Notamacropus eugenii: one gene and its partner. The protein of the gene in region 2 purifies or fractionates together with the protein of the main gene of each other region. This does not show direct contact. Links are inferred from orthologs where the notes say so. Each region holds a gene or a part of one and is shown on either strand. Other genes may lie near its edges.

Evidence for each region. The genes of interacting proteins can lie anywhere in the genome.
Region 1: the proteins of WWP2 (region 2) and LDLRAD4 purify together in Homo sapiens (affinity purification with mass spectrometry; 3 studies listed by BioGRID and IntAct, counting the BioPlex papers as one, with this or other methods). This does not show direct contact. The link is inferred for Notamacropus eugenii from reciprocal best matches to the Homo sapiens genes WWP2 and LDLRAD4.

Annotation. Positions count from the first base shown.
Region 1 is NC_092875.1:229,126,639-229,133,764, forward strand, and holds the start of LDLRAD4 (low-density lipoprotein receptor class A domain-containing protein 4), read right to left. Parts: upstream 3,019-7,126; 5' UTR 2,741-3,018; exon of another isoform or gene 2,016-2,740; intron 1,868-2,015; exon of another isoform or gene 1,241-1,867; intron 1-1,240. UniProt on the Homo sapiens protein: Functions as a negative regulator of TGF-beta signaling and thereby probably plays a role in cell proliferation, differentiation, apoptosis, motility, extracellular matrix production and immunosuppression.
Region 2 is NC_092872.1:709,227,440-709,235,216, forward strand, and holds the start of WWP2 (NEDD4-like E3 ubiquitin-protein ligase WWP2), read left to right. Parts: upstream 1-4,772; 5' UTR 4,773-5,613; coding exon 5,614-5,658; intron 5,659-7,777. UniProt on the Homo sapiens protein: E3 ubiquitin-protein ligase which accepts ubiquitin from an E2 ubiquitin-conjugating enzyme in the form of a thioester and then directly transfers the ubiquitin to targeted substrates.

The DNA.
Region 1 (7,126 bases), on a different chromosome or scaffold from region 2:
TAGGCATCCTTTCAAAAGGAAACTCCCCATCATTACCCTCCAGGAAAAGCACCAGGGTATCCATATTTTTATGGGCCAGCACTATTGATTAACATTCTATACCCCTAACTTAGTTAACTACTAATATCTCACAGGGAATGTCAACGTAACATATCAGTTCACAGTGCCTAGCACAATGTCTTGCCCATAGTATGCATTTAATGAATATTTATGGAATGAATGAATGACTATCTAAGAAGCAATCCTAAATTATTAGTGAATCACTGTTTCAGATTAAGAATAAGTTAAAATAACTGAGGAAACAGGAAAAAGGTGTGAGGAATAAAGCAAAAACCATGAAATTTTCCCAAACTAAAAAGCTCTTAAGAAATACATTATATTAGTTTAAAATAATTAAACAAACATGAAATATACTTGCCACCCAAACTATCACTGTATAACGGTCAGCCTTCCCAGAAGCTATGTTTGCCTTGAAAGGGTCAGCTGACAAAGGTCCCCTGCTTTGCCTTCCTGTTGAAAGGTGCAAGACCGGTAGTCTGGGAAACAGGACGCTGATTTACATGTCTGCTGGATGGGGTCTTCCCATCTCCCCAACCCCTTCATTCTCATGGAGAATCTATTCTAGCAAAAGTTTGAGGTTTCTTTTTTTTTCCTAATAAAGAATGTCACCTTTTCTCCCCTGTTAAAAACATTTTAAAATAGACAAAGGCCCTTTCCACCACCATACTACATTAAGCTATAAAGAGCCCACTGTCCTCCAGAGTCATCACTGATTATACATACAGAAGAAACCTCATAAATAAACCTCAGACATTATAAATTACAGTTCAAAAATCTCTAGAAATGCCTCCTCACAGATGTCTTGTATCCAACCTCAAAACAAAGGGAAGTTCTTTGATTTTTTTGTTGGATATTCATTGTTTCCTGTTTATTCCAGGGTGAGGGTCAAAGAGAAATTCAGCATGCCAGTTTCCCCTAAGTCTCCTCGGCAAAACACAGATTAAGTGTAAAAACAGTCTAACACAAGGTAATAGACTTCCTAGCCAACATAAGGAGCTTCTGACAACCTTGTTCACATCAACTGATGCAAGACTGATCAGTCATAGATAAGACAGGTAAGAAAACCTAGATTTGAACTAAGATAACCATAACAACAGTATCTGAGATTATAAACTGGGTTTGTTTTGTGGTTGATTAGGGTTGGGTTTGCATGTGGGTGTCTTTCAGACATCCTTCTCACCTTCCTCATTTTTCCCCTGAAAAACTTCTCTGCATGGTCCTGGATATGCAGGGCTTTCTCTACCGGTCAAAATCAGAACCGACTTGACTTGGTCTACCTGGGGCCAAAGCCGGATGAACTCTTGGCTCCTACTACCGCAGCTGCACTCTGTGCTGTGCAAAATTAACTCTTTCTACTGCAGTTAGCAAGCACAACGGTGCTCACAAGAGCGACACTAGGCACCGTACAAAGGGAACCGACTAATTATCTGGAGTAATGGTAGGGAGAATAATTTTCTGCAAAAACAACGATGCCCAAGGCAGACCAGCAAAAATAAGGCTTGCAGTGGCTGGCATTGCAAGGTGCAATCCCATTCACCTTTGCAACTGGATCGGGGAAAACCCCACGACCTAAGGCAGCTTCCTCCACTCCTGCACCATCCCGGTCCGGTCCCCACCCCGTCGCACAGACAGCCAGACAGACTGTGTGCACTTCCAGTCTCCAGGGAGAGAGGACTCGCAGGCAGAGGCGAGCACAGAGGAAGGGCGGCGGTGGCGACTCCGTTCCTCTCTTACCCGAGACCAGCACCTGCACCCCCACCTCGCACCCTGGAAGTTCCCATAGGTCCGGCTCAACCCCCTGGATGTCCCCTCATCCAGTTCCCAGCATTGTCCTGTCCCTGTTTCCCACCCCCACCCCTGCTGGATTCGATGGCTGAACTTGGGGCCAGACGTCTGAGCCCTAGCCAGACCCCTACAGTCCCCGCTCCCCGAAGGGAGCTCCCAGCCTCACTCACCTGCAGCCGCCCCCTCCCTCTTAAGGACCGAGGACCGGTGGGGAGACGGAGGCGGGGGAGTGGAGAGGGGAGGGCTGCAGACAGGCACAACCCGGGCCAGACAGTCAGGAAGGGGCCGCGCCAGAGCCGCAGCTTTCCCGGCCCGAGAGCCAGGGGCGGGTGTGCTGGGGAGAGATGCCCCCGGGGCGTGCAAACCCAGAGAAGAGGCGTGGGAGGGCCGGAGGGCCGGAGCTGACCGCTGGGGACGCACTAAGACTGAAGTGTCTTGTCTCTTTAAGAGTCGGAGACCTTAAACTTGGGCCTCCCTCCCCCTCCCCCTTTCACTTTCCCAGGGACTTTCAGTCTGTCTGGCGGCGGCGGCGGCGGCGGGGACTGCGGCTCCTCCCCGGCTCTCTGGGATTCCCCGGCCGGGGCTGGGGAGCTGCGGCCGCCACGGCTGCATCTCCACTCCTGGCACCCCGGCGGGAACTCCGGAGCAAGAGAGGAGCGGAGGAGAGAAGGAGGGAGGGAAAGAAGGAGGGAGGGAGGGAGAACGAACGCGGCAGTGGCTGCACTCGCCTCCTTCCCGGAGCCCCGCGGCTGCCCCTGCCTGCAGCAGCGACCCCCTCCCCGGGCTGGGCCAAGGGAGGCGGGGGAGATGCGGGGAAGGGGTCGGGGAAGGTGGCGGAGGGAGGGAGGCTGCCGCTGCTGCTGCCGCCGCTGCTGCCTGATGCAAAGTGTCCTACCTCCTGCTCTTCCTCCTCCTCTCCTCCTCCTCTTCTCCTCCTCCTCCTCTTTTTCTTCCTCCTCCTCCTCCTCTTCCTCCTCCTCCTGCCGCCGCCGCCTCCCCCTGTCTGTCTCCAGCAGCGTATCTGTGTGCGCGGAGGGCTGTGTCTGTCTCCAACTCATTCCCAGTCTCTCCTCCTCCTCCTCCTCTTCCTCCTCCTCCGTCTGTAGCTAGTCGGTGACAGGCAAGGGGAGAAGGGGAAAGGAGAAGGGGGGAGGGAGGAGGAGAAGGGAGGCGGATTTGGGGCAGGGGGGGCAGGGGGGAGGAGGGGAGCAAAGTCGGGGCGGGGGGGGGGGGGGTGTGGAGGAAGCTTCCAGCCCAGCCCGCTGTGGTCGCGAGTCCTAGGCTACACTGACATCTGCCGGGCTGAGAGGAGAGAGGAGAGGAGAAGACAAGGAAGGAGAGGGACTCAAGTTCAAAGCAAGAACTAGGGAGGGACTGGGGAGACTTCTTTGAGACTGCAAAATCTGGGGGAGGAAGTATCTTTCGATTGGGTCTTTCACAGTGACTGCAACCTAAGCAGAACGGATTCTTCCTTTGGCAGCCCCGTATTCGTGATTATTTCTTAGCCTCCCCTCTCTGATAGGCATTACTTTATTTCATCATTTTGCGCTAATGCTCTTGAATAACGAATGCCCGGGGAAGGGCTGGGAGAAGGGGGAGGCAGACTAAGGAGAGGTGCACACAACCACAGGAACCCAGAGGTGGATCGGTCTACTGAATTCCGCCCCTATTTTAAACCTGAGGCAATCCGCGCCCACCCACACAACTTGAACTAATTCGGGTATCAGAGTAACAGTAATAACTGAAATGTATACAAATGTTTTAAAGTTTGCAAAGCGCTCATCCTTGTTTGGGATGTGTCCGCTGAACGAGTTAATCAGATAAATGTCTGCACAGACTGAAAGTCCACTCCCAGAGCTGATCGTAAGTTTCTTCAGCGGTATAAAGCTTCTGACAGGCTCCCTTTCCCCATCAGAGAAATGAGAAAAAGTTAATACTTTTTTCCTAGTTAATACTAGAGTTAATACTCTTTTCCTAGAAACTTAGCTGCTTGAAAGAGTTAAATGGCACTTGGTCTTTCAAGCTGTTTCTGACTTGGGTTTCATTTGTATCAGGGAGACTAGCCTCTCAATATAGTGGTGGTATAACTAACTGAACCTGGTTTTTAAAAAAAACAACACCAAAACAGGCTATTCAACTTGATTTCCTTTAGTTTGTGCCGGAATCAATTGGACGTTTTAAGCCAATTTTGTTCTTCTGGATCTCCAAATTGGATGAAGTTTTAAGTTCTGGTAAACCAAGCTAAAGAAGACTACGTCAAAAATGAATGGTTACGGTAGACAAGACTCTACAAATCTCAACTCTCAATGAAAGTTCAGGGTTGTATCCAGTCGCCAAAACTGGATGAAAAAGAAATCGGAGTCCCAGTAAGTAACCGAAACAGAGTCTCCAAATAAACTAATTCAAACTTCACTTCTCAAAGGGGTTAGAACAAGGAAAGTAGGAAGGGGGGAGCAAACCCCTAGCTCCAACCTATTTGGAGAGGTGAGAACTTCCCATCTACAAACAATGCTCAGATAAATCTGCTTATGTAATGTAATTACTCTTGGTCTTGTAATACTACTATTTCTAGGGCCATGTCTTCACCAATAAAGGAAAGTAGAAGTTAGAAATTATATGAATAATTAAAACTGATGACCTCCTCCCTTCCCTGACCCCCCCCCCCCAACCACTACAAAAAAAAAAAAAAAGCTAGATAACTAAAAATGACTTAATCTGACTCCAGGCCAATTCCCAAGGAAGGGCAAGGTTTTCCACATATTTTCTCATTTCATCCTCACCAAAACCCTGTGATAGGTGCTGTTATTATCTCCATTTGACAAATGAGGAGGAAGTTGAGTCTGAGAGAAGTTCAGTGGCTTAACCTGGGTCAAACAGCTGGTAAGTATCTGAGATACAATTAAACTCATATCTTCCTGACATCAAGTCCAGTGGTCTCTCCACTGTATCAGAAAAGCAAGTCTTATTAGTAAAATTACATTTTTATATCCAATTAAGAACTATAAAGGGTGTATTTTGGAGTGCTTTTAAAAAACTTGTGTAGTTCCATTAACCCATTAGGTCATCCTGATTACTACTCCATAATAATTCAATTCAGCAAATGGTACCTACTATTCCTAATATTTGCATGGCTTTGTACAAAATGTTTTTGTAGACATTATCCCATTATCTTCATGTAACAATCATGTCAGGTAGACTTACAGATCTTATAGATCAGGGCTTCTTAAACTTTTTTTCTGCTCTTGGCCCCTTCAGCACTTATTAAACTGGGGGGTCTCGCCCCTATATCCCACAGTTTAAGAAGTGCTCTTATAGATGACAAAACTGATGTTTGATAACAATGCCTAAGGTCTCCCAGTGACAGCCTGGGACTAAAACACAGATCTTGTGATCACTGGTCAAATACCCATTCCACATAATCACAATATAAACTAATGACTGGTATTTAGTGTATTAGATCTTCCAGTGCATTCAGTCATGGAATCAAGAAAAGAATATGCCATTGCCATTGTGGGCAGAAAGGCAGAACACCCTCCCCCTAAACAACCACCACTGCCTATGGCAGGTACAAAGAGTACCAAAGTACCAACTTGACCAAAGCACCAAACCCAGGCATTGTAACCATAATACCTCCATTACAAGAAATTCATTCCTTTGAATTAAGGGTACAATCTGGTCTCAATCTCATAATTAATATAATGAATCAATTAATCTTGTATTGTCTTTTCAAATTAAGTATCTGAAACTCCAAACTCTTTCTAGGAAGGAACATGACCTGACTTCCCTGTATTCCCATTCTCCTTGGGCAAAGATGGTACAATACCTGCCTTGAATTTCAGCTACCCTTCCCCCACTGTCTCTCTAGGCAGCCGAACTAATAGGAAAGAAGGGTAACTGCAGGCTAAAGTGAAGGAAGTAATTATGTGCCAAACTTATGGAGGGCCAAGAGTTGGAAGTGTTTCATTCAGCCCTCTGTAGTGTCTTCTATACTGTCATTGTAATTTTTCTGTAGCCATAATTATGCAACATTTATTGGAAATTAATGTGCTTAAGTTATACTCTAGTTATATTGGAGCCAACATAATAAAGGACATCTGTGAGAAAATAATATTAAGTTGGGTGTAAAGCATTCAAAATTCATGTCAACTTCAGGATCATAGACTTAGAGCTAAAAGGATCCTTGAGGTCACCTACTCCAACCTCCTTATTTTATAGATGAGGAATCTAACAACCCACAAAGGGGAAATAACTTACTCAAGGTCAAAAAGCTAATTAGTTCAAGAGCCAGGATTCCAAGATTCCAACTGAAGTCCTCTAACTCCAAAACCATCTTTCCTTGCTTTGTACAATTTTGCATTTCGTTTCAGCCACTTTTTCCATTTCACGTTTTTTTTCCCATTTCAGTATGTTATTGTAAAGGAATGGGGTTCGGCTTAGACAATTACCCCACTTAGAGTGATAAAATGCTATGCCCTGATCAAATGAGAACACATCTCCATAATTCACTGTGTGAATAAGTCCTGGGCCCTTGCTCTGGGGGCAAAAGGAAGTCTGTTCCAATTGGCTGAGGAACTAAGTTATGTCCCCTTGATATTTCAATGTTCCTTAGGTTCTCTTCGGACCATATTGGAAGGGAGTCCTAGACCAGGGCCAAGGCACTCTCTTCTCTCCCTAGTAATTCCTCCTTAAAGGAGGCTCTCTCTCCCACCATCAGACAATTGTTCATATTTAGTGAACAATTAAGATGTGTTCTTACCCAATAAAAGTATCAGAGCTTAGTATCTTACCACATATTTTAAATGGGGTGAGTAGTTTCATTGATTTACTCAATGATGACTGAATACCATGACCCTGACATATATAAGGATGAGTTGAGGGAACTGTAGAAATTTAGCCTGGAAAAGAGAAGACTTAGCCATCTTCTTAGCAAAGAGAAGACATGATAGCAATCTTCAAATATATGAAGACCTATCCTATGGAGGAGTGATTTGTCATGCTCTACTTGCTTACTATTAACAGAATCAGGAGCACAAGTTAAAATCTTCATAGATGCAGATTGAGGCTTGACAGAGAGAAAAACTTCCTAACAATTATGGCTATCCAAAAGGGAAATGGATTGTCTCCTTTGCCAAATGTCTCCAAGAAGAGGCTGGATGAGCACTCAGATTAGTTGTAGAGGATTCTTGGTCACATGTTTTGGACTGGATCATTTATTCCAACTTTAAGCTTCTATGATTCTGTTATCCTATGGATGAAGTTAAAGGAAAAAGAGAGAGATGCC
Region 2 (7,777 bases):
GGAGCTATCATCACTTTGCTACCTCACAACCCTCTGCAGTAAAAGAAGCAGGGGTAAAGAAAACTGAAGTTATCAATTTAGATTGAGGGGAAGGCATTTTGGGGCAGGAGGAGGAAGAGGCAGCTAGGTGGACCCATAGGGCATAGAGCACCAGTGCAGGAGTCAGGAGGACCTGAGTTCAAATCTCACTTCAGACACTTGACACTCACTAGCTGTGTGATCTTGGGCAAGTCACTTAACCCCAATTGCCTCATCCGGGGTCATCTCCAGTCATCCTGATGAATATCTGGTCACTGGATTCCGATGGCTCTGGAGGAGAAGTGAGGCTGGTGACCTGCACAGCCCTCCCTCACTCAAAACAAAGTCAAGTACAAGTCATGTCATTATTTCTCTCATGGCATGGTGTTCTTTGGCATCAAAGGATGAACATACCTAGTACTGGTATTGCTGGATCAAAGGGTATATGCAGTTTGATTGCCCTTTGGGCATAGTTCCAAATTGCTCTCCAGAATGGTTGGATCAGTTCACAACTCCACCAACAGTGCGTTAGTGTTCCAATTTTTCCAGAATCCAATATTTTCCTTTTTTGTCGTCTTAGCCACTCTGATAGGTGTGAAGTGGTACCCTTGGAGTTGTTATGATTTACATTCCTCTAATCAATAGTGATTTAGAGCATATTTTCATATGACTATAGATAGCTTTGATTTCTTTGTCTGAAAACTACCTGTTCATATCCTTTGACCATTTATCAATTGGGGAATGACTTGTATTTTTATACATTTGACTCAGCTTTTATATTTATATTTGAGAAATAGGGCCTTTATCAGAGATACCTGTTGCAAAAAAATTTCACTGGTTTTCTGCTTTCCTTATAATTTTGGTTGCATTGATTTTGTTTGTGCAAAAGCTTTAAAATTTCATATAATCAAAATTATCTATTTTACATTTTGTAATGTTCTCTATATCTTCTTTGGTCCTAAAATCTTCCCTTATTCATAAACCTGTCAGATATGCTGTTTAATTTTCTCTTAATTTGTTTGTGGTATCACCCTCTGTGTGTAAATCATGTACCCATTTTGACTTTATCTTGGTATATAGTATGAAATGTTGGTCTATATACCTGGTTTCTGCCACATTGTTTTCCAATTTTCTAGCAGTTTTTATCAAATAATGAATTTTTGTTCCAAAAACTCAGATCTTTGAGTTTATCATATGCTAGGTTACTATGGTCATTTACTATAATGTAATTTGTACCCAATCTATTCCACTGATCTACCATTCTATTTCTTAGTCTGTTTTTGATTGTTTTGATAATTATTGCTTCATAATACAGTTTGAAATCTAGTATGGCTGGACCACTTTATTTTGCATTTTTTTTCATTGATTTCCTTGCTATCCCTGAGCTTTTGTTCTTCCAGATGAGTTTTGTTATTTTTTTCTAGCTTTATAAAATAATTTTTGATCATTTGATTGGTATGGCACTGAATGAATAAGTTAATTTAGGTAGAACTGTCATTTTTATATTGGCTCATGAGCAATTAATATTTTTCCAATTGTTTAGACCAGAATTAAAAATCTGGCCTCAGACACTTACTCGCTATGTGACCCTGGACAAGTCACTTAACTCTGTTTTCCTCAGTTTTCTCATTTGTGAAATGAACTGGAGAAGGAAATGGCAAACCACTCCAATGTCTTTATCAAGAAAACCCTAAAAGAGGTCACGAAAAAGTTGGACATGGGCGAACAACAACAATTGATAAACATTTACTGTATGCCAGGCACCCTACTATGCTCTAGGGATAAAAATGGGAAACAGAAAGTCTGTATACTACAGGAAATCAGAATCTAACTTGGGAAGACAACAAAGGAAACTGACAAGGGGTGGGGCTGGGGGACTGTGAGAGGAGTCCGAAGGAGTATGCAGTCCAGCAGGAAAAGAAGACTTGGCTTGCCTGGTACCCCTTAATTGGAGGGTTTGGGAGGAGCTCTTTGTTTTGCCTTCCAATCAGAACCGAGGAAGTGTGAGTAACAAGGCTGAAGAGATTTTACAGGATGATGTGGTTCCTGGGGTGTGATGAACTAAGTACAAAGGGGTGTGGGAAAAGTCCAGAGTGGTCAGCTGGGAAATGAGTCAGCACATCCCATTGTGCTGTGCACATCCCGTTTAAATCCATGCTAACATGCTAGGTGGATGGAGAGGTTTAAGTCAATGAGATGGGTTGAATGCTGGACTTGGTGTCAAAAAGACCTGAATTCAAATCCTGCCTTAGAGGCTTATTAATGGTGTGACCCTGGGCAAGTCCTGTAACCTCATAAACCTTCACTCTCTTAATCTGTAAATTGAAGGTAATAATAGCATTTGCCTTACAGGGTTATTACATAGATATATGTAAAGCATTTTGCAAACCTTAAGGGACTATAGAACTAAAGTGGCTTTAATCCTGCTCTTGGTCATGCTGCCTGGCAACAGCAGGTATCTGGAAAATTCTGTCCATCATCTTCCTTTTCTTACTTAGTCTAATTTCTGACCACCTATTATAGGCATTCTTTTATTGAACAGTCAAGAAAACTTACGATCACTGTTCCATAGAACTGATAAGTGTTAGAAACATGCTTGACACTGAAAAAGTATGAAGAAAAATGTATTAGAGTTCAGAGGAATTGAACACTTTAGCCAAAGTAGACTCTTCAAAAAGGGGAAGAGAGAGAGATACAGAAGCTAATGCATTTTTATAATGTTAGTGAAGGACAGATTCTCCCACCAGAGGATGGATTGGTCCATTCTCTTTCAGGTCACAATCTTTTGACATGCCCACTGTATGTCATTAAGCAAGCACAGCTGGATTTTTTAGGTTGCCCTACCAGTGACTCCAGCTGGCTTAAGCTGGACCAATTTCCTTCTGAAAGCCGCTAACCGTTTTCTGATTGATCAGGGTCTCCTGCAGTTTTTATTCAGTAACCTTAGGGGCTAACAACCTTTATGGACATTTAACCCCTGCTTTCTCTTGCAAGTTTCTAACTTTTTTCACCTGACCGTGCTAGGTTACAACTAGTCTGACTATTATCACTCAAAGCTGGAAGTTTCTACCCTGTGGAAACAGAACTCTTTCCTTTGTTTCCTACATAAGGAATAATGCTACCTAGCAAGCCTATTCACCCCGACAGAAGGAGGCAACCATGGTACATCTCCAGGAGTAAGTTTTTAGACATGGACACTGTGAAAATGTGTTTTGTTGACCGTGCAGTTTTGCTTTTCCGTCTTTCTTTTCTCAATTCCCCTCTCCCCACTGAGGTAGGAGATGTAGAAAATAAATGCTTGTTAATTGAAAAAAACATATAATTAAAAATCAATAGAACTGCTCATGTGGCTGAAACCTACAGGTGTAATGTTTCCTGCCTCCTCTCACCCCACAGGAAAGGCTCCCCTGGTCCTTTGGATAACCCCCCTCAGCAGCTGGAATCACCCCCAATATGGTGAATGCCTTTGGAAGTGGAACTGTCCCATAAATATGTCTGGTGCCTGTTTTTGTATCCCCAGAACGGAGCACAGTCCCTGGAATGCTGCTTTTTGCTTGTTTCCACTTGTGTCTGAGTCTTCCTGACCCCTTTGGGGAATTTTCTTGGCAAAGCTACTAGAGTGATTTGTTATACTCCTCTCCATCTCATTTTACAGATGCGGAAACTGAGGCAAACAGGGTTAAGTGACTTGACCAGGGTCACGCAGCTAGTAAGTGTCTGAGGCTGGATTTGAACTCAGGTCCTCCTGACTAGAGCACTGTGCCACCTAGTCGCCCCAATACCGGGTAGACAATAAATGTTTATTGGATTGAATTGAATCTGTATCCCCAGCTAGGTACAGTATCAACTGTAAGCGCTTAACAAATTATTTCTCATTCATTCATTCATTCTAGAACTTTCTCCAAGAAAAAGATGCCTCTTGTGGGTCCTGGCACTGGGGATGGAGCCCAGAACATAACAAGGAACCAAACGGAGCTCCTGCCCTCAGGGAGCTTGGACTCTAAAGCGGGCTGCAGCTCGAGTTCAAGGTTAATTCTGAATAAATATAAAGAAACTGGGAAAGGGGCTGGCTCCCCGCAAGCCTCGCCCCCGCCCCGCCCAACTCCTGGCGCCCTCCAGCGCTCTCGGCTTCGCCTGCCCACACTTGTGTGGGCCGGGCTCGCCTCTTCCGGGTCAGGTGACCAACAATGGCCACCTGACCCGGCCCGAGTTCCAGCTGTCGAAGGCGGAAGTAGAAGAGGAGTTCGGCGCCGCTGCTTGGCCTGCTGCAGGTAGGGATCTAGCCTCGGAGCCGGGCCGGGCGGGCGGGCCCCGGGAGGGTCGGGCAGCCCGGGCCGGGGCGGGCCGAGGCTTGGCTGCCGGCTTTTGAGGCGGGGGGAGGCGGCTTCCTGTGGGAGGGGCCTGGGACGGTGGTTCCGGCCTCTGAGGAGGGGTTTGTCTATACACCCACTTTGGGAGGCTCGGGGGGAGGGGAAGGGAGGGGGCGGGAGCGTCCCGCGGAGAGCCGGGGGCAGGGCAGGGCCCGGCGCCGGTGACCTGGGGGCGGGGGCTGGCAAGGGGCTGGCAAGGGGCATCTCTTAAGCGCCTACTGTGTGCCGGGATCCCCGGAAAGGCAAAAAGCGGACAGTCCTCAGGCTGGAGGAGCTGAGAGTGTGAGAAGCCGGGGGCGAAGGTCGTGGGGAGGGAGCCCTGGCTGCTCCTGCTCCGGCCGCTGCCCCCCCCTCCGCTCCCCTCCCCCCTCCCCCCTCCCCCCTCCGCTCCCCTCCCCCTCCCCCTCCGGCAGGGTTCCCTCGGTCCGCTTCATCTTTCCGCGTCTCCTGCCTCCGACGCCCCGGTTTTTCCACTCGTGCCGGCGTCCCCGCTCTCCAGAGATCATCTTTCCTGGCAGCCTCCTTTAGCCCAGCTCACCCTGCAGGCTTCCAGAATAGAATAAATAAAATAGAACCCGGAAGAGCCGTGCGCCCGGCCCGGCCCGGAAGCAGCCCTCGGGTCCCGGCCGTCCCAACTCTACAGGCGGCTTCCTGCTCACGTCCTGCGTTCCCTCTTTATTTTTCTCTTGTGTCCGAGCTGAATTATTGAGTCCAGTCCGGTCCTGCCTGCCTTGGTAACAGATCCGCAGGGCTGAGCCGGAGAGACCTTTGTTCCTGTGGGTAAAGACGGGGACTCAGAGAAGTAGCTTTTCCTTGTCCCCCCGTGCACTTGCTGTATGTAGGATGTCTGTGTGAACGCATAGGTTTACGTGTAAATCCGCATTGATATAGATTTGTATATTCTGTATGCTTCTATAAATTTATGTAAGGTAGCACTCTGCAGTAATTCATTTTAGTTAATTCATTTTAATTAATTTTAAACTCTTACCACTGTCCCCCAGAAGTTTGGATATTCATGATGAAGCCCAAGTGAAAGGCAGTTTTGAAAATAAAATAAGCTTTAATTCTTTTTAAACCAAAATTATTTAAAGGATTTCAGGAAGGAAAGGGTCTAGATTGTAGCTCTACTCTGCCTCCATAAATGGTATTTATGAGTTTCAGTGGTCAGAAACATGGTGACTTTACCTTTAGTGATGAGACTCTACAAAATTAGGTTGAGCCTTGGATGTACAGTCTGTTGAAGTATCTGCATATGAAGTCTTCCAGACAGGTGAGACGTGTAAGAGTGTATTTTCTACTGATGTAGCTTTTAATGAATGAAAAATCACTTGTTAAGCACTTTTTTATGTGTCAGGGTAAGGGGCTTTGGTCCAGAAAGTTACAGGTGAGCCAACCTAAAGATCCCAAGGTCACTTCTGTGCCCCAGATTAAACATGAGAGTAGGTTTTAGAGCTTGTGAGGGCCCTGAAGATCATCTGTAGTCCAGCCATCTCCTTTTACAGATGAGCAAAGGAGGCCCAGAGGGGGGAAAAGATTTGCCCAAGGTCACATAGTCACATAGGCGACTGAGCAAGGATTTGCACTGAGGTGCTCTGTTGCCAAATTTCCCTTTCTGTCCACTCAATAATGCTGCAGTTTTGTGGAAGATTACAAGCCTTAAATAGGAACTAAAATCCTACAAAATGCACATAATGTTTTGTAATATTTTGGGGTTGGAAAATTATTGCTTCAATTCCTTTTATGGGAGAAAAACTCAGTACTTTGCACCTATCAGAGTCAATTTCGTGATTACTTTGAAGTATTGTAAAAAGAGGGCTTTGAATACCTTTCATGTTTTTTTCTCAAATGCATATAGGTCCCTACTCCAGCTTGCTTTTGGTTTAGAACAAGACTGAGTGTCTCAAAACAGTAGACATCTCTTTATAAATAAGAGACAGAGGTAGTCATATTCCTAGCTCTTCCTCAGCGCCCTTTTGTGTCCTCTATGTGGTTGCTTCATTTTTAGTTTAAATGCCTATTTAAACTTATCTACTTTATTTACCTCCGTTTTGTGGCTTTGTTACCAAAATTTGAAAACATGAAATTGGCATGTTGAAATCTGTCACTGACCAGAAGATTCATGGTGGGCCTAGGCATAGTTGTTGGCAAGTAGTAGAAATAGCAGTAATGCTTCTAGTCTCATTTAATTCCCAAAACATCCAATGGCATAGGCAGGGCGGTTGGCGTTCCCATTTTGAGGTGAGTAAACCTAGAATCAGAAGGACTTGGCCAGGGTCCTTTGGCAAGTGACAGTGAAATTGAGAATCCAGATCTTTTGATTGTTTACTCCTTTGCCCCAAACATAGTTAGACAAGGTTATCTATTTTTGGGCACCAGTTCTAAGTTATTACTTCATTATTTCCAAGGAAAGGGGAGGGGAAACTTTAGCTATCATTAGTAGCTCTTTGTTTCCTGGAGGAAACACTATGCATCTTAAAGAGTCTATTCTGCTAGATGTTAAATTTTCAAGCCAAACAACTTTATTCTGTGTTACAACACGTTGTTTAATTTCCAATTGAAGTTTATTAAAAGTTAGTTTAGTACTTCTGGAAATTTTATATCCCAGCATGTTGTCTTTGATGATGGGATTGGGGATGGGGGTAAGGGTGGCTCGGGATAACCATCTGCCAGGCACTATGCTAAACTCTTTACAAATTTTATCTCACTTAATCCTCACAACCACCTGGGAGGTAGACGCTGTTATTATTGCCTCTGTATCTAGGGAACAGACAGAGGTTATGTGATTTGCCCAGGGTCACACAGTTGAGAACTGTTTGAGATTGGCTTTGAACTTAAGGTTTCCTGAGTTTCAGGCCCAGTGCCTGGTCTACTGGTCTTTTACACACAGTTGGTGCCTTTTAAATAGTTGTTGAATTGAAAGAGATTGATTTTAATTGGATTTGTTCTTTATTTAGGGAGTCCTTAAGAAACTTGGAAGTTTCTCCTGAAAAGTCTTGAGCTGTTTTGGTAGGAAGGCTGTCCCTCCCTGGGTGCCGTCTGGCCTACAGAGAAAGATTTCAATAGTGGCTTGTGGGCTTTGGGGTGTCAGGAGGGTGTTTGTAGGAGTAGTGTTACTTATGACCACAATCGTAGGAAGTAATAGATAAAGTTGTTTTCAAGGATCTTTGGAGTAGGTTTTGTTTTGTTTTTCCTATACAGATTCCGGAATTTCTTTGAGGTTCAGGAAAATGGAAAATCTGCTCATAGAATTGAAAGTGGGCTAATCTCACTATTCCACACATTTGCTTTGGCTGTCCCCCATCCCTGGAATGCTATCCCTGCTCACCTCAACCTTGTAGCTTCTCTGACTTCATTCCAGACGCAACTCAAAGCCCAGCCTCCCCCCTTTC